3 linked regions of the Neurospora crassa OR74A genome follow. The protein of the gene in region 3 purifies or fractionates together with the protein of the main gene of each other region. This does not show direct contact. Links are inferred from orthologs where the notes say so. Each region holds a gene or a part of one and is shown on either strand. Other genes may lie near its edges. The genes, in order: NCU03051, NCU03961 and NCU08668.

The links.
Region 1: the proteins of NCU08668 (region 3) and NCU03051 purify together in Saccharomyces cerevisiae (affinity purification with mass spectrometry; 3 studies listed by BioGRID). This does not show direct contact. The link is inferred for Neurospora crassa OR74A from reciprocal best matches to the Saccharomyces cerevisiae genes ESF2 and DIP2.
Region 2: the proteins of NCU08668 (region 3) and NCU03961 purify together in Saccharomyces cerevisiae (affinity purification with mass spectrometry, with the first as the bait; 3 studies listed by BioGRID). This does not show direct contact. The link is inferred for Neurospora crassa OR74A from reciprocal best matches to the Saccharomyces cerevisiae genes ESF2 and ENP2.

Annotation. Positions count from the first base shown.
Region 1 is NC_026501.1:8,272,337-8,282,914, forward strand, and holds NCU03051 (WD domain-containing protein), read right to left. Parts: upstream 6,564-10,578; 5' UTR 6,450-6,563; coding exon 6,433-6,449; intron 6,364-6,432; coding exon 3,486-6,363; 3' UTR 3,140-3,485; downstream 1-3,139. Other genes in the region: NCU03053 (hypothetical protein), read left to right, coding at 1-1,194, 1,335-1,358; NCU03052 (hypothetical protein), read left to right, coding at 2,250-2,849. UniProt on the Saccharomyces cerevisiae protein: Involved in nucleolar processing of pre-18S ribosomal RNA.
Region 2 is NC_026506.1:2,243,685-2,254,033, forward strand, and holds NCU03961 (WD repeat protein), read right to left. Parts: upstream 5,068-10,349; 5' UTR 4,961-5,067; coding exon 4,929-4,960; intron 4,869-4,928; coding exon 2,963-4,868; 3' UTR 2,693-2,962; downstream 1-2,692. Other genes in the region: NCU03960 (hypothetical protein), read left to right, coding at 2,155-2,335, 2,403-2,692; NCU03962 (hypothetical protein), read left to right, coding at 6,082-6,120, 6,194-10,349. UniProt on the Saccharomyces cerevisiae protein: May be involved in rRNA-processing and ribosome biosynthesis.
Region 3 is NC_026504.1:4,155,962-4,165,567, reverse strand, and holds NCU08668 (pre-rRNA-processing protein esf-2), read right to left. Parts: upstream 4,256-9,606; 5' UTR 4,082-4,255; coding exon 3,517-4,081; intron 3,443-3,516; coding exon 2,985-3,442; 3' UTR 2,800-2,984; downstream 1-2,799. Other genes in the region: NCU08667 (hypothetical protein), read right to left, coding at 507-1,742; NCU08669 (betaine aldehyde dehydrogenase 2), read left to right, coding at 4,789-5,193, 5,253-6,137, 6,202-6,315; NCU08670 (hypothetical protein), read left to right, coding at 7,385-7,477, 7,538-7,596, 7,669-8,845. UniProt on the Saccharomyces cerevisiae protein: Involved in the small subunit (SSU) processome assembly and function, and in the 18S rRNA synthesis. Required for the early cleavages at sites A0, A1 and A2. Stimulates DBP8 RNA helicase ATPase activity.

The sequences.
Region 1 (10,578 bases), on a different chromosome or scaffold from region 3:
GGGGAGCCGTCATACTCTCAACCGCCTCAGCCGTCACAGCCTCAGCCTCCATTTTTCAACCCCTATCAGCCCAAACCTGACCAAATCCCACCGCAGTATCATCAGTTACAGCACACGTACCCTCCGCAAGTGGCTCATCATCAACCGCCGCCAGGATACCCTTATCAGCCGGGACCGCCCGCTTTCAATCCTCAGCATGGCTATGGTCAGCCTCCTCCTCCTCCTCCTCCTCCTCCTCCTCACTATGGTCCTCCACACCAAGCTCCCCATACGCCAGGTCCTCCTTTGGGCCACCCCGGCTACCCGCCATATCCCCAACCTGGCCCAGGAGGCCCAGTATACCCACCTCATCAAGGTGTACCATACCAAGGAGGACCTCCGCCGCAGCCACACCCCGGATCCTACCCGGCCCCATACACATATGGTCCGCAGTTCCAGATGCCAATGATAGTTCAATTTCCTCAATTCACGCCCTATTATGCAACCCCCCAGGCGCCTCCGTACGCTCAGCCTGCTGCGCTTCCTCCCAACCTTCCACCTCAACCTCCCCCGTTTGCACCGGGCGGACCGGGACAAGTTCCTGGTCCAGCACCGGGAATGGTGCCAGTGCCACCATTTCCAGGGTCGAGAGAGTTCAGGTCGCCCGGACCAGCTCCCCCTCAGCCTGGCCCCGGTCCTGTAAGCGTCAGTGGCAGCACCCAATCGCCCCAGGCGGCGGCTTCCGGTGTAGCCCCGCATCCCCCGGTCACTCCTCCGAGACAACAGCCTGCAGGACAGTCATCGGATGCACAAGAAGCGCAATCCGAACCAGATGAAGCGTCACCAGCCGGTCAGCTATTGGCCGAGCAAGAGGCTCGGAATACGGTGCAGGACAGCCAGAGCCAGGAACAGTCGGTTGACAAGCGACCTGCCGTGTTAGTATCATTTCCGGAGGCTGGAGCAGCACTGGAAGAGCCGGATCAGGAGATGGGCGAAGTTCGGGATCAGGACCAGGAACAAGACCAGGAGATGGACCAGGACCAGGAGGAGCAGAAAAAGGAGCACAATCAGGACCAGAATCTGGATCAAGAGATGGCTCAGGAGATGGAGGAGCATGAGGAGGAGCAGGAACACCATTCATCTGCAGACATCTCCGTCAGCGATGAAAGTGACAAGGAGGACGGTAACAACGTCTCAAGTGAAACTCATGAAAAGGTACGGCAGCACAAAAGTGCAGATGTGGCATCTACAAAAAGAGGTCGGTCCCAGAGCACATCCCCTGTGCCGACACATACCTCATCTGCTTCAGAAGAGTCATGATGGGTAGAGTTGCTTGGGCCAAGACGGAACGACAGCTATGGTATTCATCTGTTGGATAAAGGTCAAAAAATGGGTGAAGAAATTCGGAAAAGGTAGCAAATGATCCGAGGCTTGACGAAGCTATTGATTGATGAATCAACCAGGTAAAGGTCCACAATAGGAATCAAGAGGACCTTGATTTTGGATTGTCAAGATTATGAGGTAGTTAACATCCACCAAAACACGAGTTCATAAATCTGGTCGTTTCCATGGACCCCTTCTTTCGTCGTCTCGAACCCTGATAGGGATATTAATAATCCTATATGCAGAACTGGTAGACACATGATCCCGCACTCAGCCGGAGGGTCTGCAAGCGTCTGATTGTCCAAGATCTCAACATGGATCAAGTTGGGTTGTTTGGGGTTCGATTCCAACCCTCGGTTCCAGACACTGGCTGGTGCGTTTGTATCCTGTGACATTGGACGGCATAACTGAACTCATCGCTATCCTCGCGATATCCATGATCCACGAGTCGAGACCCCAGAAAGCTTGTGAGTGACTGCCCCTTTCGTCTCATCATCGGCATAGGTAGTTCACCCACACAAACCACAGTCACTCGCGCTCCCTCCTCCTTGACAAGACAATAATTTCCCATTTAATGCTCAAACAAACTACAAGAAGCCATCCCCAGCGCTTTCTCGCTGCCCTTAATATCTCCCGGTGTCTATTGTAGTCAAGTCCTCAACCTCGGACCGCCGGAGCCAGCGCCCATCGCGCCTTCCTCAAAAAGCAAAGCAGGAAAAAGAAGTCGCTAGCAGGCCGTCACGGCCACCTCCCAGACAGTCAGCCATCCCTCACCTTCATATCCTAATACCAAGGCGCCGTGTCGTACCCTTTGAGGAGGCGGAAACGAAGTAGGAGACATAACAACCTTGACACCACCAGCACCCCACCGACGGGAAACAACCACAATGTGCCAAACAACCCTCTACAAAGACACGCATTGCAAACACCGCTGGATGCGCATCACCACTCCTTGTCTCCCAGGTGCGGGCTTCAACACCTGTCCCTGTTTTTCCCACAACAACAACAACAACAACAACAACAACAACAACAACAACAACAACAACAACAACAACAACAACAACAACAACAACACACGCAACTACCACTACAACAACCACCATTCTCCCGACGGCCTCTGCCACCAACCCCTCTGCCCCTACCAGCAACATCCCCATCCCAATCACACCCCTAGCCACACCGCTGCCTTTACCACTCCCATTCAGGGCCAACTCCAAATCCAAGGCCACAACACCTGCCAAGTCCATCTTCCTGGCCCTCCCTACCACCAGATCCAAGATAACTGCCCACACCACCAACACCTAGTAGCCAAGCCCGCTCCGCCCGCCTACATCGCCCGCGGCGAACCGTGTCCGGAGTGTGACTTGAGGGGAGTTTACGATCGGAATCAGGTCAGGATGGTCACCAGGATTAAGAAGGGGATTAAACTTGGTGCCGGACCCAGTGGAGGGGACCCGGGGGTTGAGGTTCGGTGTTGTGTTATGTGAGAGGCAACTCGACAAGTGTGATTAGGGGAGAGGGAGGGGGGGGGACTTGGGGCCGAGGGAGCGAGAGGCGGCTGAACGAGGTTAAGGTAGTAGAGGTTTGGGGATCGGATGGGAAGATGAGAGGGAGTGAAGGTGGGACAGGTGTGAGGGGAAATTGGGGAATTGGGGAACATGAGGGAAAAGGGGGAATACAAGACGACGAAGGATGGAAAAAGACAATGATAGTGGACGGTGGACGATAGATTGCGGCACCACGAAGACGAACTGATCAAGACATCACGCGTTTCCCTTCCGGAAGTTAAGATGGAGAATTTGATGGGGGAGATTCAAGACAGAGCAATTTGGAGATAAGGGTAACGAATACTATGCAATGCCGTTTTAACTAGACCCCAACTCCAAAAAAAAGAGAAACGTTGCCCTATTTTACCTTACGAAAGAGAAACGGTATCAACACCGTTCACCCCTTTCTCCTCTACGTCAGACATCATATGTATGTTGTGTTATGTGCGGAACGGATTTGTTCTCTTCCAGATCCCTTCTACTCTTTCCACCTACACTACCCTTCCTCCACCTGTAGGTCACTCCCATGTATCATGCTGGCGTTTGTTTCCTTCGCCAACCCCAACCATCCGACGCTCAAGAAACCTGCACGAAAGCACGCTTTTTAACTGCCTTGTTCTCCTCGTTCTCCTCTTCCCACTTCTCATCAACATAATCCTTCACGCTCTTATGCTGCAACTGCATGCCTACGACCTTGAGCGCCGCAACATTGTACCCCATCTCATCCTTCTGGCGCTTGAGTGCACCACGCAAGTTGGTGCGAATGCCATCCAACATGGCGCGCATCGTCTTGCTCGCCACGATCTGCTTGTGGTGGGTCTTGAGCATGAAGAACAGAATTCTACAAGTAAGCGGGATGTTCATGGAGCGCATGGCAAAGATGTTGAGGAAGGTGAAGAGCATGGGGACGGTGGCGAATGGCAAAACGAGCAGAGCATCATGCAGCGCCGACGCCTTGATCTTCTGCAGCACGTTCATGACATGCTGCTCGGCGCTGATGTTGCCGAGCGCCATGAAAAGCACGTTGCGCTGCGGCGGCGCCACGTTGGGGTTCTGCTGCTTGGCCTCCTCCCACTCCTTGATAGCGTTGAGGTCGGCCATGCCGAGTTCGAGCGCCTCGGCAATGCGCTCACCCGCCATGAGCGTCTCAACCGTCTGCTTGGACGCAGCGCCGACTTCGCGGTTCTCGTCCTCGGCGTCGGGGTCTTGCTCGAGCGAGGTGGTGAGCGTACTCTCGTACAGCTCCTCAATCTCTTTCTCGCGCTCTTCTTCGAGGAAGATCTGCTCGTCCGTCTCCTCCCATACGCGGATACTCTTGTCATGACTAGCGCTGATGAGGAATTGGCCGCTGTGAGCAACGGCAATGGCCCAGATCTCGCCGTGGTGGCCGTCGATCCTCTGAATCTGCTCGAACTTGTCGGCATCCCAGTACTTGATGGTGCGGTCCTTGCTGGCACTGAAGAAATGGTGGCCGTTGCCGTCCGAGTTGTGAGGAACAAAAGCAACTTGGAGGATGGAGTCCTGGTGACCGAAGAGAGCCTTGTGGCAGTCACCGAAATCGAGACCCCAGATTCTGATGTTCTTGTCGGCGGAACTTGTGACAATGAGCTTGTTGTCGTAGGAGATGTCCATGCTGAGAACGGGCAGCTTGTGACCGTAAAGGTTGAGGTAAAGCTTTAAAGAGTCGACGAAGAAGACCTTGACAGTGCTGTCGAGAAGGGCAACAGCAAGCAACTTCGCGTCGGGGGAGAACCTGAGACTCAGGATATCGTCTGATACCTTGAGAATCTTGGACTGGACAAGCTTGAGCTTGGGGGTTGTCCTTGACGTGCCTAGAACCTGTTCCTGAACGATCTTGAAGTCCCAGAACTTGGCTGTCTTGTCAGCACCGCCAGAAACAACGGACTTGCCGTCTGGGTGAACCTGTAGTGACCAGATGGCATGGCCCTCGTGAGCGTTGACGCTCTCTAACAGAGATGCCGAAGCAACATCGTAAAGCTGAAGCTCGCCCTCCTTGGTTCCGACCACGACCACCTTGTCGCCAGGCAAGAAGGAACAGCAGAGCGCGTAGCCACACTCGAATGTCCGGATGCATGTGTTGGTCTTGATGTTCCAGATCTTGAGGGAGCCGTTTGCTGCCGAAGCCAACATCTTGTCGTCTGAGCTGATGGAGAGGGCACGAATGTCTGTTCGGTGTCCGGGAAGCTCCACCGCAAGCGCCTTGTTGTAGTCTGGCGCATCACCCTTGGACTTGAGCTTATCCTTTCCAACAATGGTATATGTCTCGAGCAGGTTGTTTGTGCCTCCAACAAGGAGCTGGAGATCCTTGGTTCCTTGACTGAGGGCCCAAGCGACCGACCGAACCTTGCCTGTTGTCCGCACGATAACATGCTGCACGAAGACGTCGGAGATGTCTGCTTTTGAAATATCATCGGCCTTGTCGTCTTCCTCTTCCGCGTCTGCTTCCTTCTTGCCCTTCTTCGCAGCCAGCTCTCTTCTTCTTCTCCGCTTCCTCGCCAAGCTCTTCTTGATTTCGGCTTCGTTTCGTATCCTCCAAATCTCGACAGACTTCTCGACGCCATGTACTGCAAAATAGTCGCGACGGGGGTGGAAGATGACCTCGACGGCCCTTTCTTTGCTCGAACGGTGTAGTGTGCCGCGATCGTGGAGGAAGTTGATTGCTTGCGAGAGATCGACCTTGCGTGCTGACGAAGCGAGTCCTGCTACATCCAAAGCCCATACCCTCATCTCGCCGTCGTTGCCAGCTGTGACGCATCCACTAAGGTCGGGAGAAACACCAAGCGCCCAGCACTCGCCGCTGTTCTGTGCCACATGGGTCTCGATACAATGCCGTGATGAAAGATCCCAAAGCTTGATGAGCGCATCCTTGCCGGTCGTCAAGAGGAAACCTTCTGTCGCTTCGTTGTCCAGCACCATAGCCTGCTCTTCGTCGTCGCCGCCTTCGGGTATTTGCGGCTCGGGCTCGATGAATCGCAGTCCTGTGATCTGATCCTTGTGTCCTCGTAGCTTGTACTGGCCGACTTCGGCGACCAAATCCCAAACGATCACATCGGTATCCTTTGCGCCACTGGCCAGGCGCACTCCCGACTTGTCGAAGGCCAGTATCGTGATTGCCGACTTGTGTCCATTGAAGCTGACAATGGTGGTGGAGATCTTGCTATCCCACAGCCTGATGCTGCCGTCTTCGTAGCCGACAGCGAATACGTCGGGATCGGTCTTGCTCTGGGCGATGGCAGTGACCTGGGCCTTGCAGTTCTCGTCCTTCCAGCGGTTGAGAAGCTCGCCCTTCTTGATATCCCAAGTTAGAACCTCATTGTTGGCGGCGACGATAGCCTGGCCCGCACCGGTGCCAGATTTGTCTTTGGAGGAGGTCCAGACGAGATTCGAGGAGCTGGTTGCGACGACACCGAAGGACTTGGAGGGCTCGAATTTGCTGTTGTTCCCAGGTGTATTAGAGATGCCATCAGGCGAGAGAAAAGTAGGACAGAATCGCAAGGCTTACAGGTATGATTTGACCATATTTGCGATAATTGGACAGCCACTAGTACAAGATGCCAATCCAAAATAACATGCGCAAGGTCTCTCGCGATTCAATGTCCACTAGCACAATCGTGTCGCCGCTGCGCAGTGGGTTGCCGTCCCTGAACTTTTTTTTGGCGTTGCCAGTCCGGCAAGTGATAAGATAAGAACTTTTGCCGCGTCCATTTCCACCAGCCACTGCCTGCCCAGACGGCCACTGTCCGCTGTGGCTGGCCCGGCCCCTGTCTGAAAGTGGCCCGGTCCCGCCGCCGCATCGTATCACGGCCTGGACGGGTTCTGCGGGGCAGTTTCCAGGCTTGGCGGCGTGTCTTCCGGCGCCAGAGTGGAGCCAAAGTACTTCAGCCTGGAGCCAGCAACGTCAGCCAGCCTGAAGCGAGGACCTGACCCCCTGCTGGGAATAGGGGGTCTGACAACAGGGCCAGAACAGGGTGCAGGCAGTGGTGTTGACAGTGCAAAAGCGTTATAGAACGAATCCGCTTGTATAAGCCCCTTTTCGATAATTGTATGTTTGGTTGAACAATTGTGGATTGTAATTAATGCGTTTCGGTAGTTGGTCTATTTGCGTTTGGATAGCTGACCCGCTAGAACGGTATACTTAAATAGTAATAGTATTTTATATAGAATAAAAAGTAGTGCGTACAATAGGAATTTTCGTTAAAAAGTGGTTCGCGTATATAATAGAAACTTCTATATAATAGAATGTTCAATTATCGAAGGTACTTCATCTTTAATATTTTATTTTATCTCCGAAGTAATAATTAGTTAAACTATCTATTTACAATACAAAATAAACTCGTATAAGAATTATTTTTGAAGGTTCAATTTATATTTTAAATTTATTCTTTTTTCTTTTATAAATATCCTACTATATATATATTAATTTATTTTATTAAACTTTTACTATTGTATATGTAATATAATAATTATTAATTGATATACGATTGGAAGTTGAATGGTATAATTAAATATTATATGAGTATTATTATATTATTTGAAATTATTGTAATATTTATTTAATATTTATTTATAATTTACTACTTTGGGGTTGCTGTTAGTATTTATTTACTATCTTAATTCCGTTGCTATAGGTATTTTTAGGTAGTATACTTTGTGCCTTACCCTTAAAGTAGTTTAGGGCAATTCCCTTATTTACTATTATTGTAAAAATATTAAATATTTATTCCTATTTTCTATTCCTAGTAGCTAGCGTTTAGTAGTATAAAGAAATACGTAGCCCGGGTATTTATTTTACACCTGCTTTTTTTTAAGCCCCTTTATATAGTACCCCGAATTTGTATTAGGATCTTAGATTATTGGTAGTTATTAGTACTAGTATTACTAATATATTACGCTTTAATTTATAGAAACCCTACGATAAGGTGTGTAATAATTTAAATCTATATATTATAATAGTAATTATTTATAATAACGTTAGTATATTGTAGATATATAGTGGGAGTTGGGGGTCGCTACCTATATTTCTTATAGTATATATATTAAGGTCCCCTACGGAAGTGGAAATTTATATATTAATTAGATTGTATATACGGAGTACGCTACTATTAATTTTACTTTTAAATAAAGAAAGTTAAAATAGTATTCGTCGGTTCTATTTATAATACCCCTTAGTATTATAATAAAAAAACTACTAACGACTCTAGCTTCTATTTAGGTCTCTATTCGGAGTTAAGTAGGGATATTTTATAGTTAATTATTATATTACGTAATTATTTTAAATATTTATATAGTTGGAGGGTAGTAGCGCTAAGGGCTTTAGTAATAGTAGGGTAGACGGAATGGAATAGGTGTTAGGTAGTGGGTAGTGGAAGCGATTTAGAACTTCTATTTACTTTTATTATAGGAAATTTCCTCCTAAATTTCTATTTCTTCCTAAATTTCCTTTAAAATTTCTATTTCCTCTTAAACTTCCTTTATTATTATTACTTTTACTTATTTATTATTAATTAAGTAGCTTATAATTTATATTTCTATTACGTTAGTATTGCTTATAATTATTAGGAGAAGAAGTTTATTTGTATTCTATTATATAGAAAAAGTATAGTTATTATTGATTTAGTATTAAATTAGAGTTCTTTCCGTCTATTTAGTAGGTTGCCCCGGTTTATATTTAGTATACTTTAAAATCCTTAAGCGAATTAAATATATTAGGAGTTAGTATAGTTAATTATATTCTAAATAGGAGGGAGCTTAATATATAGAATATTAAAGCTACTATAAAAAAAAATAATTAATTTATAGATTTAATATACTAAAAATTCAAAGTTCGTTAATTTCCTATTTGTACGTAGCTTGCGGTATAGTTGAATATTTACTTAAGAAATGGATAATTTAGCCGGAAGTTTGATAATTTGATTGGGTATCTTATTATTTAATTAAAGTCCTAATATTTAGATTAGGAGTTCGATAGTTAGATTGGAATATTAAATATTAGATAAGTTATTCGATAGTATAACCGGGCTAAACGATAATTATATTAGAAGTTTAATATTTAGTTACGAGTTTAATAAGTCGATTGGGGATTAAAATATAGTATACGGGTTACTCCCTTTAAGGTATCGGGCGATTAGGGAATATATTAACCTATATCTATTTTTTTAGAAATTATTATAAAATAAATTAACTTTTGTAAATTGCTAACCAACTATTTAGGTAATATTTATTATTATATAGGGGGTATATAAATTCTTCTACTTAGGTATAATTGTAATTTAAATTTATAGTAGGTAATTGTAATATAATATAATAAATATTAATAAGCAATAGTCTTATATAGAATAATATTAATTAGGAATAAAGAGTATAGAGTAGTAAGTAGGGTAGGAGGGTATTAGATAGTTATAAAGTACGTACGAAGCGTTTATAGTGAGAATTTACTGCTATTAGTAATAAATATTATTAAAAATAGAGGGGGAGTAGTGGATATAAAGTATTAAGTACGCGGGGAGAGTGTTTTAAATAATAATTAGAAGTAGTTAGTAATAGGTAGTTTAAATAGAGGGAGGGGCTTAGGATAGTAGAAGAAATAGGAATTTAACTTTATAGTACTACAATTAAAAGGTAATATATATTGTAATTGGATAGAATCCTGTTTACTAATACCGTTAGACTAATATATTAATATTATATTTGTTTTTTCTATTTAATAATAGGGAGTTAAATATTATTATCGACTTTTATATTTACTTATTGTAGTAGGATAGTAGGTAATATCCCTACTATAATTTAATTATATAAGTAGAAGCGGGGTTGGTATTGAGCGGGAGTGTAAGAGGAAGGGCCCGAATTAATAAGATTATAATTGTAAAAAGAATTTGGAGGGTAATATAGAAGATATATAGTATAATAGGGTAAAGAATAAATGGAAGTTAGGTATTTAAATATTATAATGCTGCTATTATAAAAATATTTAATTAAGTGCTGTAGTAGAGTGTAAAGAATAAAAGATTTTATATATAGCGATAGTACTTAGGAGAGTAGAAGTAGGAGGTTGTATATATATCGGATTTAAATTGTAGGACGTAGCTAGCTAGGATGGGAGTTAGGGTACGGAGGTACTTTAATAAAAGTAGTGCTAGTAGTCGATTAATATAACGAGGAAGGAGTATAAACGGGAGTAGATTTAGTATTTTCTTTTATAGGTATATTCTATAAATTTTGATTTTTTTTACTAATATTTTATACTTATTATATAAAATATTTAGAAAGAATATTATTAATTAAGGAGTATTAGGAACCGTAACGTTGAATAAGACGGGGGTATAGACGCTAGATTTAATCTTTTTATTCTAAGAAGTAAAAAAAAAGATATATTTTTTTAATTAATACTCCGGTTAATAATATAATAAATGAAGTTTATTGTAAATATTATATATAAAATAATATTAATTGTATAATTAGGTTAGTATTATACTATGAAAGTATTAAATAAAAATTATACAAGTCTACGTTGGTCGGTTACCTTCTGTCTATTCTATATAAAGTAGATATTATATTAAATATATATAAATATACTACCTTTTAATTTAGGTACTATCTATACCCGCTTTAGGAGTACTTTAGGGAGTCTAATTATATTATAGCTATTTTT
Region 2 (10,349 bases), on a different chromosome or scaffold from region 3:
CACCTTATATACCTTCGCACTATCGAATGGCCCGTCCGTTTGTCTGGTAAGGATAGGTAGGTAGCGCAATAGAAGAGACATGAAAAAGAAAGTGAAAGTGACCATCACGGTCACAGTGACCAAGCCCACATGGTATTTATCAACCAACTTCATTTACACACACACACACACACACACACACAAAAGCACAAAGGAGACAGGATCATCATATCATGTTCACTTGTCGTTGGGAAAAAAAGAAAAAAATTGAAAAAAAAAATTGAAAAAAAAACCCCCATCCCATGTTCACCATATCACACTCACACCCCTGGACACTCCGGACGTCGTTGGATAGTGGACACTAGGTACGAGTAGTACAGCGGCAACCAAGCCGAAGCCCTTGTCCGATTGGTTAACGATGGCCGTCTGCAAGCGCCGGGAGTTGTGAGTCTTTAAGGGTTTCTGGCCAATCAGGACCTGGATTGGCTAGCGTACCTGGATTGTTTCAGGGCCGCCAGGGGGAAAGGATCACAGTGATGGGTTGGGAGTGGACGGCGCTAGTGCGGAGGCGGAATTGTTTGGGCGGACAGGGGCCATGGAGTTTTATGTGCTGGTACTATCTGGGCCTGACCTCTTTTCTGTGTTTTCTCTTCGTCAATGGACGTTGTTGTTGAATGAAATTGCCTATACACGTGAGACAGTGGAAGCAATGGCGGCGGTAAGGCGCAACGAGAACGGATACCTAAGTGAGGTCAAGTAATATCAAGACAGGCCGCTGGTCGCTGGATGATCACCTAGGTATGTAGTCGGGAAGGCGAGAAACCGTTCTTTGATGTAGTAATGGAAAGACAAAGTGCCGAATGCAACGGTCGGCGACTCGTTGATGGTGATATTTGAGTGAGACAGCATGACCATTGACCAGGTTCAACCAGGCACGCCCAGGCACAGTAAACGCAGGCGAACCTCGGCGTCACATAACGACAGACCCGGATAAATCGACTGTGTGCCCAGATATTTCGGCGGTGTGGGGCCATACAAACTGAGCACCAAGCCAAGCCAAGAAGCCAAGACCCTTGAACTTGGCAATTGGCATTAACTTTGCGCGTAGTCACCTACCCTTCCTCGCCTTCTATTAACGACAACTTAGAGCAACTAATTGGTATTGACTTTGGAGCTCCCGTTGTATTACTCTTTGGCTCTAGGAGTAGTACTTTCCAACGGGCTGTCTCCGACCTTGGCCTCGCGTTTGTCTCTATGCATCCTTAGCTTCAAATGCCTCATTTCCACCACCATCTCTTAGTCCTTCGAATTCTATCTCCCTCATCTTGAGAAGCAACTCAAGGCAAGCATCGCATTGTAAGAATGACCATAGCGAACGCTGGTGTAGTGTAGAGGTAGTTGAGCCGCTGGGATTCCATGACACCTCATTGGCTAGTTAGGTTCCACACCGCCGAAATATCTGGGCACACAGTCGATTTATCCGGGTCTATAACGACAGGTGAAGATTTCGTCCGCATTGAAAGATTGGGCATCGTCAGATCACAGTACCTTGCCTAGCGGGGAGAAGGGAGCGGGGGCATTGGGTCCTTTTAAGCATACACTAAGGTAGCTCCTCTAGGAGGCAACCACTCAAGGAAGCGGGAAGAAGAAGAGGGCCTAAGTCTACTCCATTAAGTACTGCTCACTGTCGAATCACGGTATCAACCATTAACATCGCACATATACCTCTTTTGGAAGTAGGAGTAGCCGCCGCGAGCCCACGAAGCAACACCGGCGTTTATACAAATTACATACCCACCTACCTACCAACCCCTACAACCACCTCTATTGCCTCCCAAACGCCCGCCTTTTTTTTTTTTTCCCTTTCTGGTCCTCCTCCTCTTTGATTGCGTTTCATATTTTTTATTCACTTTCCTCTTCCCACTGTCATATCATTCATCACCCGACTTTGACAGTCGCGCGTCGCATTCCTATCGGTCTCGACTTTTCATTGCTTGCCGTGCAACGCAACTGAGAATAAAGAAAAATAAAGTGGTCTCACCTCAGTTCATATCGACCTTTTCGACATCAGACCGACATCTCATAATCACGTCACTACGAGGCCGGGCCTGGTTTGGAACAAGAGACAGCAGTGGCAGTTATATAAAGGGAGGGGAACCCCCAGCAACTGCAGTCATGTCGTCAGACGCCAACTACGAGCCGGATGCGAACCCAGGAAGCGTCGGTGCTGGTCCAGACATGGGAGACAGTGGAAGTATCGCCGGTGCGGCCGGGACGTCATCAAACGACGTCGGGCTATCTCAAGGTGGTCTGATCGCCATCATTGTGGTTGTTTGTGTCGTCACCATCTTCGGTGGTAAGTCTTTCTCGCCCATCAGCAATACTGCACTGACCGGACATGATATTGACCCTCCCTCCAACAGTCGGTAGCGCAGTTCTCTTCTTCCTGGCAAAGAAAAATGAGTGGAAGGTCAGGGAGACCATTCGAAAGTCGGCAAAGAGGGTCGTCACGGCTTTGACCCCACGACGCAGCGAGTTCCCCAGATCGGTCAAGGGATCTTTCCGATCAACCAGATCCCAACATAAAGGCCGTGTAAGGATCGATGATGTGCCACCCACCCCGCGCATCAAACCCGAGCATCTGGATTTGGAAAAGGGCATGGGGAAGCCGGAGAAGTCAGGAAAGACACGCATCAACTTCAGTCGGAAGTGAGCCGGTGTGGCGCAAGAGAAAATCAGACAGCACGAGTTGAGATATAATGAACCATTTGATGACGAAAATGGCAAGCTTGGGGTATATTTTGGGTATCGCTGGTCGCGCGAGCCTATTGCTTTGCGACTCGTATTCGGAAAGAAATGTGTGCCGTGGACGGCAATGATGTTCTTGGCCGGTTCACCACGGCCTGGAGGAGTTGACATGAAAGATACCATGACTTTTTCACATGTATAGTATATAGGGTTGGACCAATAAGCTTCTGGCGTTTTACAGTCGTCTAAAGGTGTTCGTGCTTGCACTTCGCCTCCCATCATGTCTCTTCCGTGTTGGTGCAGCCTCGGGTTCAGCCTGCTTCTTCTTCTTGGACTCGGGCACGAACGTAATCTTCTGCTCTCCGACCACGTCCGTTCGGGTCTTAGTGACGCGCCCGGTCCTTGGAGCTCTTTGGCCGAATGCCGTATCCTTCGCCTTGCCGCCCGCAATCTTGGACGACGAGACCTGCATGACCACGTCATCCTTGCTCTTCTTGCTCTTCTTTTTCTTGCTTTCGACCTCGCTTTCCGGATCGCTCTCATCGTCACTGTTGCTGGTAACTGAAGAGTCGTCCTTGACATGCTGTACTGCGACATCTTGTCCGCCAACCTGGGTGCTGGGGTTGAGGGCTCTGAACTCCCTGGACGTCTCATCGACCTTGAACTCCTCATCCTCGAACAGCTTGCCGAAACGAGAATCGCCCAAGACGCCAGCGGCAATCTTCTTCTTGTCGGAACGATCAACAATCTTGTCAACCAGCTTCTGGTTGACCTTGACCTTCTTGACACCTCTGATACGGCTCTCGCGAGCCTTCTCAACCTTCTCCTTGACGCGCTTGGCCCGCTCCTCTTCCCAGACATACGGATTGGCAATGAGACGAGCCTGGTCGTACAACTTGGAATGTACAAAGTAACCGTGCATATAAGGACGCAACAGGTTGGTCTTGCCAACCAAGTGAGCCAAGCTGAGCTGCTTGAGTTCGGGTATCGTAAGGAACTTGTAGTTGTCGTATGTGTCGACACGCTTCTCGTTCTCCATTTCGTGGACCATGTTGTCGAGGAAATGGCACCACCTGGGAGCCAGGCCAAGGTTGGGAATAAAGAAACTGTGCATCTGCTTGCCCTCGTTTGCCGTCAATAGCATGCCGGAATCGGGGACATGCGCCACATGATTAATGTCAACGGTCGGCTCGATTGAGGTCCAGAGGTCGCCACTCTGTTCGTCCCAGAGCTTGATGATTCTCTTATCGGCCGTGAGAAGCTTCTTTTCCTCGGTAGGAGTCGTCAAGTGGATGATGTTCTTGATGGGAAGACCCATGCCCTGGTCCTTCCGCATAAGCGGGCGAGGGTTTCTCAGATCGAAAACTTGAACAATACCCGTGCCTGTTCCGAGCGCAAGAGAGAGACCGTCTCTGCTGTAATCCAACGCAGTGATTTCGCCCTCTTGGCCGCCCAATACAGCAACGCGGTTCCTGCTACGGGGATCGTAGAACTCGACTGTGCCGACGGTCGTTCCGAAGGCGCAAAGACCGTGTGTGGACTCGGCGACGGCCGCGACATTAACAGCTCCGACGTTGATGCTTCCCTGAAGACCAGCACCGGGCTCATCTTCACCCACATCCACCTGCCATGGCCTCAGGAACTGGCCGCGCTCCAGATCGAGGCGGAAAACCTCGCCCATACCAGAACCATCCGCACTCAAACCGACAGAGGGAATGAGCACTTCTGTACTTTGACGGAGATATGCAAGGTCTCTGCCGAAGCGCGGGAGTCTGACTTCGTAGTGACATCCCATGGGGGTATGGAATTCGATCGAACGGTCGGATTGGAGGTGTACGCTCTTGGTGTAATCTTGGCTGAGCATAATGAAGGTGGTGTTTTCGGATTTGGTGTGGCGAGCGAAAGACAGCGACAGTTCCTGTGTGTTGTGGACGTGGAACTGGGGCTTGTAGGTACCGGAGCTCATGATCCAGTTGCCATCTTCACTGACACGGACGCAGTTGCTGGCCTCCTCGAAGTCGAAGTTCTGGAGGAGCTCGAAGTTGTTGAGTTCTTCGGGCTCGTACTTGGCCGATCTCTTTCTGCGGCGGGCAAGCCATTCTGGAAGGGGTCTCGCAGTCGACGGCCCAGATACGGTGTATCTGCGATGATGGTTAGCATTTCACAGCGGATCTCTCTTTTCCAATGGCAAATAGACGTACACTGGCACCGCGCCGGGATTTGTCAATTTCATGATGGGTGGTTTTGTTGGTGATGAGGGATGGGGCAAGGATGGAAGATGTTGAGAAAGCAGAGAAAGCTTCAACTGCTACTATCTGCTGAATGGGAAGTTTTGGAGAACAACCCTAACCCGTATCTGAACTTTTTGCGGCAGAAAATCTGCAAAAAGTTCAGAGAAGTGCCATGGTCGCCAAATAAGGAAGGCGGAGAGCCACCGGCGATAAAGCGAAAGGTAGTAGGGCGATAAGGCGGCTTGAAGAGGAAGCGGGACGGGAGGACTGCCCGTGGTGGACCTTTGAATTCTGGTAGGCGGGCGTCGCCGTCAGCAGGTCATTGCAGTACCTAGGCCGGGTGCCTCTAGGTAGGTGAGGTGGCAGGCCTGGATTGTGCTTGGCAGCAGGGTCCTTTCAGCTGTGGATACCTCTAGAGGTAGTGTGGGTCCTCCCCCGTCGCTGATCCGAACCTAACTGCCTGCGTGGCTGTTCGCCTGTCGCATCGGCGGGCAGGGCATCCCGCCGACCTGGAACCCAACTGACTGCAATGGACTTTACTGGACCGAATTCCTTTTGATTCGAGTCGGCCACCTCGATGGCGGCTGTGAAGTCACGATTACTGCCCGCCGTCACCGTATTCGTTACTACCACCGGACCGCCAACTACCTACCTACCTGAACCGATGTCCACCATCCTTCAGTCCCACGACACTAACCTACAGTAATATCGCATCCCGTCATCCCATCGCATCCCCCTCCCGCCTTACAGCTCCTCACTCCGTCCCATCTCCCAGGTCCCGAACCCGCAAATGACCTCGTGGGCGCATGGTCGGTGATCCGCGACGGTTCGCGCTGTATGGACAGGGGCCTTGCTGCCATGGAGTCCAGCATCCCAACGACGTACAGCTCAAGACAACTACCGAGTTCATCATCCATGCTGTTTGAAGTTCGGCTTCCACAGCTTCCACTTCTGAGCGTCGCCACAGTAGACTTTCATCCCAACACGCCATCACACCGTCCCTCAGGCCGCCGTCGCCGGCCTACATGCGCCCTCATCCCACTCCGCTAACACGCCTTCGCGCCCGGTGCATGGTCACTACGACTTCTGCGACTCCGCCTCCAAAGGCATCTCTATTTCAGATATGGACACTGGCGACTATGATACCAATACCTTGCTAATTGTATGCTGGCCTGTCCCGTCCTCGGACCACCGCCTCCCACTCCCCCCCCCTAACTCACGCGTCTCTCCTGCAGAATAATCTTTCCGCCATTTCTTTTCGCGTTTACGAACCCGTTGCCGCCAACACAGCCTCTTACACCTTCCAGCCACAAGTCGTCGAGGATGCCTTGCGCCGGGATGGCCACCTCGTCCACGTCGATACCACCCGGCGATGTATATGGGTCTTTTACTTGACAACCAAGGATGGCTCCATGTTGGGACCCGAGGAGCGAGGGCTCACCGCCAAGATGGAGGTCTGCGGTTACTCGTTAGGCTTGTCTGGAGAAGGCGGCTTTGAACCCAGTAGCTTGTTCAGAAGCAGACAGCTTGGGACAAACTCTCTCAACACTCCAAACAGCTCGTCCTCTGCCGGTTCCGTTGTTGACGCTGCATTCCGGAATCCGCAGGCCTCTGCCTTTCCTACCGCAGCAGGTGTCATGCCCGGCGCTCCAGTTATGGATAACAAGGGCGCGTCGCACATACTTTCGGACTCGGATCGCTTCGCCCATGTGCCATTAAAGGAAAAATACGACTTCTTCATTACTGCGACCCTGGCATCTCTGTCCTCTTCGTTGTGCCACACGATAGGAGCCATTCCGCTGGACCATAGGTCGATATTGCTCCCCTCTCAAGCATACTACTTGGATGAGTTCATCCTAGGCCCGAAGCCGCAAAGCTGTGCCCTTGGTACTTTTCGCGTCTATCTTACATCGACCGGGACACTCGTCATTTCTCTTTCCGTCTCTTTGCTTGAGGGATTGGCATCTTTTGCGGAGCTGGCGCGGTCAAACATGCTCCCATCAAACCCAGTGGTGCTTGCTGCTCCTCTTGGAGCATTCGGTTTCATGCTGAACCCAGTGGATGGGGACATGTATGGACTTGATAGCGGCTATGGCCATTCGCCAGACACCCAAATCAGTCGTCTAAAGCCGGATCCAACCGATAGGCTCTCACAATGGAAGGCAACGTGTTGCAAAGTACTCCAAATGCGTGGTATATCGCCTTCGCTGATCAATGGCTGCTCCTGGTTCAATGTTCACTTCCTGCAGCGAAAACCATACGAACACAGGCAAGACGCCAAGAGACCTCCTTTGACGAACCCACCTCAGATCGCGGCTTGGCCATCGGTGCTTTGCTTTAGAAAACCGAGGATCGATGCTGGCGCTGATAGCCGTTCATCCAAGGCACTGGTGGCGAGCGCATCCGAATCGCTAGATCCGGTAGATGACGCGAGGCAATGGTGCCAAGGATTTCCTGAGCGAGAAGAGACGATCGCAAAGCGAAAGAAGGAAAGAGACGAGAGGGAGGCGCTAGCAGCCGTGTCTCGCAGTATTGCTGACGCTGATTCAAAGAACAACCAGATTAGTGCTGCGTCGCCTATGGCGTTGCGCCGGCCGAGCAACGGTGGGGCCATAGCCGCTTCCAGTGCAATGTACCCGACACCTCCGGATGGAATTCAACCATTAGGCATGGCTGCCTCTGCCGAGACAGGCTTCGCTGCCAGTCCTGCAAACCAGCCCCAGCATAACGCGATGGCTGGCATAGATACTGTGATGAAGAACAACGCCCCCCATACGGAGAACTTTGGCAATGGCTGGGAAGGCGGCGACAACAAGCGGGAGCAGCAGGCTGGGAATCTATTGGAGGGTGACAATATGTTCGGCGATCTCGGGGAAGACATGTTCGAAGGCAACGAGCTTACCGATGCTGATTTCAACTTTTTCGACGAACAACTCAACGAACAGACCGAGGGTGTCGAGATGAATTTCAGTGCAATATCAGGACTGGGAACGACAACGGATTTGTCCGCTGATGCGGGTCAACCAACTAACTCAGCTCCCCAGACTAACAACAGAGTGGAAGATTACAAGACGATTCCGCAGCCAGCGCCTCCAGAATTCACCAAACCCGAGCTTAAACACGCACGCAGTACCCTCGCTGAAGGAAGTCGACAACAAGCAAATCAAGAGAGCTTCAATCGTAATTCCACGATAGGGATCAAAAGACCGCACAGCCCCTTTAACCGAGAGACTGTGTACAAGCGAATCAAGGCCTCACTTCTGTCGCCTCCGAAACCACGATCTCCTACTACAGCACTTTCTCAGCGACGAAAGAGCGAATTCGACAAGGTTGATTTCGACCCTTCACTATCCCTGGTCAACAAAAAGTACACCGAGAACGGCCCCTTCAATTACATGATTCCGGCCGTGCAAGAAATGCAAAAAACGCGATTAGAACTGCAAAATCCTCTATTGACGAGAGTCGAAAAACCTCCCAAGGAACCTCCAAGTAACTTTGGGGCTCTTCTAGCGAGGATAGCTCACGGGATTGGCGGTAGCTTGACAGGCCGCGACGAAGTTGCGTCAGAGACGGATGACTCTAGTTGGGCGTCTGATCCAGACGACTTGAGCGACGAGAGCAACTACGCACCCTCTCTCGCCAAGTCAGGAATTTCAAGGCGACGTCTGGACGACGATGTCCTCTCAACTGCTGCTTCTTTCAAAGACCTCGAAAGTGCTGTGGCAGATACACCTGCATATGGGTCGATTGATTTGGTTCGGTTATCTCACCCCGAGGTGCCCGAGTTTTCTATCGCCAAATATTTTGCAGATCCAGAGCCGGCACGGCTCCAGGTTTCTTTTTCTGATACGAATTTCATTACCATTGCTCAAATCCTTACCGAGCAAGTGGCGACCGGTTCGCTACAGATCGCTCCCAGAATCTTGAGCCGGAAGCCCCAGGATGTGCGCAGAACGTTGGCCAAAGCAGTGCGGTACTCCATGCAAGGGCTACGAAAGGCCCTGCCACGGTCACTAGCCGATGCGATTGAGTGTTCGCTCAAGCCATACGCAGATGTACAAGATGTGCCTTTGGTAGCACTGGCGCAGCCACAACGTATTCAAGCTAAGCCGATGGGTTCAGAAATGTCAACTCGAAACATCTACCCGATACCAACACCCCATATAGAAATCCGCCGCTATGAAACTCCCTTCTCGATGCTGCCAACAGCCATCAGTTTCTGGGAAAGTTTAGGCCTTAGTCCGGCAAAAGGCGCCAAGGATATTGTATCAGTTTGCTTGTTCCCTAACGTTGACGGCTTACGGGATAGCGCTTCTGCCTTTTTGCAGCGGATACGCAGTGTTTACGAATCCCTGAAGTTAGGGACGTTTGATATCCTCCCTACTGTCCCGGATCTCGAGGATGGGCTTCTATCATACTTCGCGACCCAACAACCAGCTGTTCGTGATGAATGGGCTGTGTCGCCGTTCAATGGGCCCATGAGTTGCCTCGCAAATGCACTAAAGAGTGTCCAGATGACGGAAAAGAACTACGTTGTCTTCTTTGTCTACCCAGATGATAGGCCAAATTCGGTCGTGGAATCATGCGCCGCCTTCCACGATCTCTACGAGCGCTACAAGCAGTGTATGGCAGACATCGGGAAGCCGGTCACGAGTGAGCTGGTCCTTCAGCTGGTTCCGCTTGACTGCATTGCGTCGGACACAACTGTGACGGTGATGTCTCCCGTCGATTACATGAAGCTGTGTCTTGAAACATACGATCGCTGCACGCTCTTTGGTGGGCCTATGCCAGCGCCCGCCATCGTTTTAGAGCCACAGGTTCTGCGAACGATCGACTTCAAGCTCAACACAAACCCGTCCCCGAATTTGCTCCAGGAGAACTCATGTATGCACGTTGCTTACGCGCAAAGCGTGGACGAGCGGTGGATTACTGCCGCCTGGACGGATTATCGAGGAACGAGGCAGATGACCACATCATATTGTCTCGGTCGGAGAGACAGGCCGCTCACCAGGTCTATAACCGAGATCATACAGCAGATATGGGAGGCCACCATGGACCATATTCACTTCGCACGGGTGCATTGGCGGGTCGTTGTCACCAAATGCAGCCCTATGGAACAGCAAGAGATCGAGTACTGGGCTAGCTTGCAACAATCCGAAACTTATGCGAACGTTAGCCTAACGCTTCTAACAGTCGACACCAACCCGTCGCTACAACTCATCCCGCCAGCGCAAAGAATACAGATCCCATCAGCTGCTCTTTCGTCAAACAGCCCCGCTTCCACACCCCAAGCCTCCGTTCTCTCACCCGACCAAAGCGGCCTGGGTCCACCAACCCCGATCGGGACCGGCTCGAGCAATAGCGCCAACGCCGCCACCGACAACAACAACA
Region 3 (9,606 bases):
GGAGGATCACGTAATTAGCATCTGACGCAATTGCTTCCACCAAAAGATTCGTTAGAGCTTCGTAGATACCCCTTAGATTTATTCATGCGCATTACAACAACTGAATAAGAACTGTCGTCTCTTGAACGTGACCAAGTGAATGCTGGCAAGTTTCCAACTTCACGAGAGTGACATTGCAAATCAAAGGCGCATTACAACCCGGAGGTCCCCTAAAGTCACCCATATCGTTAGGTTTTCGCAGCAAGTTCAACATGCTCGGAAAATCCAATCAAGTTCGAACGGAAAACATCTCGCAAACTACCTAGGTCCCAAACAAAACTGCACTCTATCTCTACAAAACCACTCAAATCATTACGATACAAAACCATAACCCCTTGAAAAAAGAGAGCACAGCAGACACTCAAACAACATGACATTCTTCACACTTCACACTCTTCACACCCTAATTCCCCCTCGTTTAAGCCCTCCAAGCCCACCGAAAACCACCAAACCCTCCCTTAAACAACTCAATGCGTCTCATACCCCTTCTCCTCCTCCCCATACCCCTCCTCCTCTTCCTCGTCCTCCTCCTTCTCACCACCCATTCCAAACCCCCAATCAAACCCGTTAACCTCCTCACTAGCCCTCCTTTTCCACTTGGTCTCAACCACCGCCGGCGTAGGATTAGGAGTCCTCTGCAGCTCACTAACCAGCTTCCTCTTGCCTTCGCCCGCGACCCCCAGCGTCTCGGCAGTCATCATCAGCCGAGCGGACACGGTGGCAGGGAAGCGGAGGAGGTGTGCATTGGAGAGGTAGTCTTCTGTTTTGGCGTTTAGGAGGGGACGTGGACGGGGACGGATTATCGGTGGGGAAGTGGCTTGCGGGGATTGGGGAGGTTCGGGGTCGCATTGATTTTCGTGCTGAGGGGATTGAGTTGGAGAGGAAGAGCGAGAGGAAGAAGAAGAAGAAGAAGAAGAAGAGGTAGGGAACACTGGGGATATGGTCGAAGGAGGAGGAGGAAGAGGGAAGTTGGTGATATCCAAGGGAGAGGGGATTCCGCGACGGAGGATTGGACTAGGTGAGCGGTAGCGACGTGGAGAGTGCAACGACCCAGCAATCGGAGAAGAGGGGATGCTGGTGTTCGGAGTTGGACTGGGTGAAGAAGTGGAGAATGACCGGGACAGAGAAAGACAGCGGTATCGATCTTGACCGCGGAGGGGGCTAATAGTAGGCGAGGAAAGCGGTGTAGGTGTGGAGGGTCTGGTTCGGATGTCCGTGATCTCGTCGTCGTCATCGGAGGCGTTGCTATCCTCAAGATGATTGCTGTCATTTACCGGCGCTGCTGACGAAGAAAATGAATAACAAGAGAATCTATCCTCTGATTCTGGGGACCTCAGCTTGCAAGAAGTTTCCAACACCCAATGAGAGAACCACTCGGCATACCATTCCTCGAATTCAGGGGTTGAGGAATGGCTGGTAGCAGGTTGAACTGACTCTTGATCCCCATCTTGTGAGTGACCGCACCTTGAGCCAACGGTCGAGAAGCAGTCCTCAGGACGCAGCGAGTAATCACTTCCCTCGCTACTCACAAACGAAATAGCGGAAGACGACCTAGAGGTACTCTCCGTAACACTTGCTGCGCTCGCCCTCTCCCAAGTTGAAGCCACCGCTTCTTTCTCCCTCCGCTCACGGTGTTCGGCCAACAGGATTTTGGCCATCACCTTCCACCACATATCTTTGACCTCCTCCCTTGTCTTGAACATTCGGTCTGCTGGCGTCGGATCTTCATTTATCTCCTTGCTGTTATGGTCGGGGTTGGCAACACTCTGTGCAGATGGGGTCGCTGGCGGTGTTGACGAGATTGGCCATTCTAATAGCTTCTGCGAGTTTGACTGTTTGTCGTTTGGGGCAAAGGGGTAAAAGGTTGGTGCTCTTAGCCCAAGACGTGATCCGAAGGTAGAGCCCATAGGATTGGCTTGTGTGTCCCAGAACCACCGGTAGAGGGAGGCGAGGGGTCCGTAGATAAACCTTTGCCAGTAGAAGCTGAAAATTTCGCGGAGTCTGGACAAGCAGTCACTGGTTACTGGTAAGATGCTAACTGTCCTTGGCTGGAAAAGCACAAGGTCCGATTTTGTTGGGGGCGGAGGAGAAGGGGAAACAGATCGAGGAGTCGCTTCTCGCTCGAGAGAGGGGTTTCTTGACCAAAGTAGGGGTGTTTGAGTTGCCGAACTGATGGTTTCATTTGATGCTGAGGATGTGCTACTCGAAAACCACCTGGGTGAAGATGTGGTCATTTCCAGGCTCTCATCCTGAGACGAGCCACGCCCAGCACAGCAACTAGGTTTCAAAAGGTATATATGTTCCCACAGGGTACAGCCATCCTCGACCGTTTGAATACATGCATGGAAGAACTTGTGCATCTGATCTTCACTCAAATAACGACAAGAGCGGTCTTGGCGGATATGCCCGATGATATAGTTTGACCAGGACGTATATTGGAGTATGGTGTCCAGGCGACGTTTTGAGAAATGTTCGCAACCTTCCTCATCTACGTCAAGCATACGCTGGATGAGTCCTTGAAGTATGCGAAGGGCGTAAGTCGGGTGAGTCGTTAAATATGATCCCCTTTTGACAGCATTTGCGACAGGACAATTGGTGAAGTTGTATCGAGTGTTGACCGTATCGTCAGGGGCACTCTTCCTCGTGGCTGGGATTTGGAATGTGCTCATGGTGGGCCAATTAAACCAAACGCCGGCCGGTTTCTGTGCAGCGTCGATAAGTAGGGATATGACAAAGTGACGGAAATGGAGATGCTCTCATAGCAAAAGGAAATCAGGTTGGGTATCAAGATGACTGAAGGCAGAAAAATATATACAATTGCCTAAGGGAAAGAAAATCAACACCACCCATCTCTAATGTCTCGGAGTCGCTTTGACGACAGAAATCCCACAGGTACATGAACGCTCCGTGTCTCAAACCTATTGTTCGGGGGCCAAACGAGAAGGTTAAAAGATCTTGCTGAGCACTCTTTGTACTTGCTCGGGCTGTGTCTCATCGAGCTTCCTCTTCTTGGCCAAGGGTATTTGCTTGAATGTTCTCCTCTTATCGTCGTTTGTTGTCGTCGTCGTCGTTGCCGCCGCCGAGGGAATAGTAGATTCTGTGACTTGGGCGGCACCCTCACCGCCCGCTTTGCTGCCCTTGGACGCCTTCTTTGCCTGAATGCCCTGCAGCACCTTGGCCCTCTCCACGTTGCGGACGAACTCCTTGTTTTCTTTGGTTGTCTTGGAGATTTCGGCGCGCATTCTGCTGGATCGCTCGGCGTTCTCAGCAGCGATTTGTTCGGTCAGGTTGTGCCACTTGAAACCCTTGAGGTAGAGCAAGTTCCAGATATCGTCGCGGTAGTAGGATCCCTTCTTGCCTCCGATTGGACGGGCATTGAGGAGTTCGCATGCCTTTTTGGCGTCTGCAAACAAACGGGTTTTCTTGTTAGCGTCTTTGTACTTGGGTCTCAGCGAGTCTCACGGAATGAAGACCTACCCTTCTTCTTGACAAACTCAATCCAGCCTTCTGTAAACATCTTCTTTTTATTGCCTCCGCTGCGAATGCGCTTGCGTCGCGCAACTGGGTCCTCGGGGGCCAGGAAAATGCGATTCAACTTTCCGTACGGCTCCAGCAGGGAGCGCAACTTGGCAGGAGTCATGAAAGGTGGTACCCTGGAGATGTACACCACTCCCGACTTCTTGATGGCCTCCTCCGTGACGATGAGATTCTTCTTTGTGAGAGGCTTCGTCATGCCCGGAAGGTCACTCGCTAGTACCGACTTCTTCTCCTTCTCCTTCTTTCCATCCTTCTTTTCCTTTCCATCTGTTGTTTCCTGGCCGTCCTTTGCAGGTGCATCCTTGCTTTCAGCATCATCTTGGTCGTGTTCCTCCTCTGCGTCGGTAAAGTCGTCGGCTTCGCTGTCCTCGTCATCGCTCACTCTTCTGCGCTTGGCGTTACGGCCACCCTTTTGGAAATCATCCTCCGAGTCAGAACCGTGGCCCGCATCGTCGTCGCTATCGCCAGCATCGAGGAACTTGTTTCTGACATCGTCCTCCGGCATTGTCGATGGATGATTGACTTGTGTTTCTAATTGGTGGACTTTTTGTTGTATGCTGAAAGTTTCGTAGGTTGAATGATTGGGTCGTTATGGGGAGATTTAGGGCAGTCGGGTGTTTGTTTGCGTTGGAGAAGGATCACGACGCGATTCGCAAGTCTTCTTTTGGCGTGGAAGCGCTGGACGGACATGGCTGCTGCTGTTTCTCAAAATTTCTGGCTCCACTGGGGGCCACAGGCAGGAAGGGACCGTGCACGCAGGGCCGATAAGAGATAACAAAGTATGAATGGGAATGGAAGTTCAGGTTGGCTGATCCCGTCCCCGCCTTAGGTTCCTTCCGAGGTGGAGTTCATACACTGCAGACCCGACCCCGCGCTGCCAACAACTCTTTATCTTATCAAAGCTCCCCCGGCCTGCCGCCGAGAAACGGAGCGGGAGCCACTCTGTGTGCGGCAGTGTGATGTCGTGTTCCTGTTTGTTAGTGAGACGGCGACGGGAGGGGCGACATGGTGTCATTGGGTCATGGGAATCAAGTCGGTTTGCTCTTTTCTTCTTGTGGAAGGTATAACGAATTATAGTACTAAGTACTAGAGTAACTGAACTGTGTCTTTTCTTTCCCTTTGACTCGCTCTTCCTCCTTGTGACAACCAACACTGCATCCCACTTCACCATCCTTATCACTCGATACCTGGCCGATAAGCCTACTTGTAACAATGTCGGTCGAGGTGATCACCACCATCTCTCCCACCACGGGGGAACCCATCATCACTCGCAATGGCATTTCAGAGGAGGAACTCGTCCAACTGCCCGAGACTGCCTTCAAGGCCTTCCAAGGATGGCGCACTACCAAGTTGGAGGACAGACAGATCATCGTCAAGAAGGCCTTGAAGTTGCTGGCCGAGAAGCAGGATGAACTTGCAGAGGAACTCACCGTCCAGATGGGCCGCCCCATTGCTTATACTGCCAAGGAGGTTGCCACTGCCATCAAGCGCTCAGAGTATCTGCTCAAGATCAGCAACGATGCTCTGAAGGACACCGATGGCGAGGAGGAGAAGGGATTCAAGAGGTTCATCCGAAAGGTGCCTGTTGGTCCTGTTCTCATCATCTTTGCTTGGAACGTAAGTGGTGTCCATCATGTTGTTTTGACACTCCATCCGTCACCTCTAACTTTGCGCAGTACCCCTATCTTATTCTCGTCAACGCCTTGATTCCCGCTTTATTGTCTGGAAATTCGGTCATTCTCAAGCCCTCGCCTCAGACACCCACAATTGTCGAGCAGGTGGCCAAGGTGTTTTCCGAGGCTGGGTTGCCCGACGGAGTCATCCAGTACTTCCACTCGGGTTCGCCGACAGTGATTGAAACAATTGTGCGAAACCCCAAGATTGCCAACATTTGCTTTACCGGCTCGGTTGCTGGTGGCCTGGCCGTCCAGAAGGCCGCGTCCGATCGCATCGTCAACGTCGGCCTCGAGCTGGGTGGCAAGGATCCTGCATATGTTCGCGGTGATGTCGATATTGCCTGGGCTGCCGAAGAGATTGTCGACGGCGCAGTTTTCAACTCGGGTCAAAGCTGCTGCTCGATTGAGCGAGTGTACGTTGACGAGAAGATTCACGACGAGTTTATTGCGGCCGTCCAGAACGTTCTTAAGGGATACAAGCTTGGAGATCCGTTGGATAAAGGGACGCATCTCGGCCCAGTCATCTCGGCGCGCTCCAAGGAGACCATCCAGGCACACATCAAGGACGCGCTCGACAAGGGCGCCAAGAATGCGACACCCGAGAATGAGACATTCAGCATTCTGCCAGACAAAGGTAACTTTGTCGCACCGACATTGCTGACCGGCGTGGATCACACCATGACCGTTATGAAGGACGAGACTTTTGGTCCCGTCATTCCAGTCATGAAGGTCAAGAGCGATGCCGAGGCAATTCAGTTGATGAACGACAGCGAATTTGGCCTCACTGCCAGTATTTGGACCAAGGACACGGCCAAGGGATACGAACTCGCCGAGGAAGTAGAGGCAGGGACAGTTTTCGTGAACCGTTGCGATTTTCCCAGCCCTGTAAGTACTTTTGTGTCCTGCGACAACAATCAACCACCTCGTTTCACTGACGCGCATCTCTCAGGATCTGGCCTGGACTGGTTGGAAGAACTCGGGCAAGGGTCAAACGTTGAGCAAGTACGGCTTCGACCAGTTCGTCAAGTTGAAGAGCTACCACCTGAAGGACTATCCCAAATAGAGTTTCGGGACGCCCTGCCGCCCGATTTTCGACGCAAGGAGGCACAAATCGTCAATAAGGGAGGTATTCGGGCGCGTGCGCGCTGCATATCATCAGCAATAGATAGTCTTTCCCTGTTACCTGTTATTGAACGAATCCAAGACACCAGCCTTTTCTGCTTCAGGGATGTCTCAAAGAGATCCCACGTCAATTGTTCCGCATTCCAAGGCTCTCATCCAAAACCTAAGCGAGGGGCGTCGCCGGGCTCATGCTTTTCCTCATTCCTCTTTCCTTCCATCTTCTTCTCGTCTATTCGTCTATTCACGATCCTTCACTTCACCCGCGGCCCTTTGAGGGTATCAATGTCAATTCTTGTCTGCCCTGGCCAAGGGAACACGTTCCTGAAGCCTAACCGAGTTGGGTTCGACGATCCGATGCGGCGGTAGTATATCTTCTTTGACCTCTCTCTTGGGTTCCCGGGAAGTGTGGTCCTCTTCAGGCAATCCTCTCTTTGAGCCCGGATTCATACTTCAGAAGGGCTAAACTGCCGAGCCGCACTGGGTTGTCACCAGCGAAGGCCAGCAGAGAAGTCAATGGGCCACTTGGACGGGCTTGCCACTCCTTTGTCTTTCTGATCATTCACTCTTGTTTTTGTTCATCCTCTCCTCTTCCGCTCTTTCCACGGTATCGTGTACGTTCGTTCTGCACTGTTGTGCGTCATTATTTCGCCATTCACTTCGGGCATTAGCTTGACTCTCTTGTCTTTGGATCTCCTGTTATCTCCTCATTTTTCACACAGTCCTTTGTTGTCCATCATCATCAGGTACAACGTCGACCTCGGTAACGCCAGACGCCCATCATTTTTGCATCTCTTCCTGCCGATAAGACACGTTACTTTCACTCACTTAGACGCACACATGCGCATGCGCAACCTCGGAAGCGGCCATCGATACAGATTTATCTAATACTCATTCGTTTTTTACATTTCCCACAAACTCACTTAATGCACTAATACCAGCCGTCACAACACGGTCATTCTTTCATTCTTCTCTCTCTTCTGAAATCAAGCGGGCGGCAGTATATCGCAAACATGCAGGTCTGCTCCAACTTCAAGAGGTTCCGCGCCTCGCTTCAGGAGCTTTTGGGAATCAAGCGGAGGAAGCAAGTCCGGGGTCAAGATATTGTAAGTGTTAGTCCTGAGCATAGCAACGACAAGCAATCCACTAACAATCAAACACCCCAGTCGGCTCCTTACAACTTCAAAAAAGAAACCACTGTTATCCCCGGTATCACAGAGGAACAGTACGTCTTTTCTCCCTTTCAGAGGTACTATCCCTTCTCTCTGCGCAATGCTAACCCTGCCACTCCCATCAGACTAGAAGGTCTTCGCGACAAAGCCGCCGCCGCCCATCTCAACCCCCTACGCCAACACTCGCCCACCTCTGCCCGATCTCGCCGCGGTGTCGACCGTAACAAGAACAAGCACAGCAACAACAACAACAAAACCACCAAGAGCCACAACCAACTTCGTTCCTCCAGCTTAGCCAACCTCCCCATCTTGGACTCAACCACCTCTGCCCCCTCAACCTCCGCCAACAAAAAACAACTACTCGCCTCCAAATCATGTCTCTCCCTTAGCGCTCTCCCCTCCTTTCACGGACAAGGACAGGGACATCCGCAACCACAACCACCCCGCAAGTTCTCAGTCCCCAGCTCCGCTTCCTCACCCACCGTCTCGCATGGATCTACATCAGGAGGACACGGACATGGATCACTCGGTTTCGATCTGGGACTCGGCGGAGGAGAGATGGGAACGGGACTGAGGCCTCCTAGTCCCTGTTTGAGTTTGCCTACGAGGATTGGGATGGGAATCAATAGCGCGGCTAGCGCCAGTCCGGTTACTCCGACGTCACCACTGGGATCGGGAAGTTTGGTGGCAGCCGGAGGAGGAGGAGGAGGAGGAGGAGGAGGGGAGTCCTCGCAGCAGCAGAGTGTGAGGGCGCAGAGGAGTAGGGCTTCCATCAATCAGCAGCAAAGGAACGGAAGCGGAAGCGGAAGTGGGAGTGGCAGTGGAAGTGGAGGAAGTGGGACAACGACGCCCAAGTCGCCTTCTCCGGTGTCGGTCTTGGTTATTGGTACAGAAGCTATTAGTCTCAGTCCTGTTAGCCTTGTTCATCAACAGCAACAGCAACAGCAACAGCAAGCAAAACTACAACTAAACACTTCTCCTTCCTCGACTACGAATTCGACAACAGCCACCGAAACCTACGTATCCGCCCCTGCTTCAGCTACTTCGGAGATATCCGCAGTGTCTGCTGCCGCGTCGGCAATGGGGGGAACCGCATATCTCCTGGATTCTTCTTTTGTTCTTGGAAGCCCGATTAGTCCCATCAGCCCTATTAGTCCCGTTAGTCCATTGAGTTTGGATGATGATGATGATGATGATTATGGCAAAGGGGATGGTGGGAATATGAACATGATAAAGAAGAGGACGGGAAGTGTAAGGGTAGGAACGGGAACAGGAATAGGAACAGGGACGATGTCGTTCTAGAATCCTCTTCTCATCCTCCTCCTTCATTAACACATTTGATTTGTTTGGGTCACAAGGTTTTGTGAAGATTGAGAAGGTGAAAGGGACGTGACGTCATTTATGTCCTCTGTCTCTTGAGAGTTTTGTCCGAAAATGCTGGGTTACGGATTATTATTATTTTTTTTCTCTCTCTCTCTCTCTCGCTCTCTCTGCTTTTGTTAACAATTGCTTTTCCTTCCTTTTTCTTTTGACTTTGTTTCTTTTCGTTTCTTGTCCTGGAGGGTAACGGCCACAGAAAAACAATATCACCCACCCTAGGTAGTTTTCATTTGTATGGGGTTGAGGAATTGGGTTTCTTGCTCTCCTTTTTCTTTTGTCAGTTGTTGGGGGGGTGGGAGCGAAGATTTAGACTGTACTTGAGAAGGTATACTGCAGTTCTTTTTTTCTTCTCTTTTTCTCTCTCTTCCTTTTTTAGTCTCTTTTTTCAGGTCAGGAACTGGAAAGTGACGAAAGGGAAAAAAGTAAAGTGCTGGAAGGGTCGGAGGGAATAAAGCTTTGGCAGGGAGGAGGAGCTTGGGATATGCAATTGTTTGTTCGAGTGTCTGTTTTGTTTTCCTCAACCTGAAGATTTTTGGTAGACAGGTGATGGATTGGACAGAGCAAGGTAAGGTGGATGTGTCAAATTGGTAAAGAAAAGAAAAGTCGGTAGAAATTGTATGATATGTGTTTGTTGTAACAGCGGAAGGGTTTGCTTGGTTTGTGAAGGTGTGGTGTCAACGCAA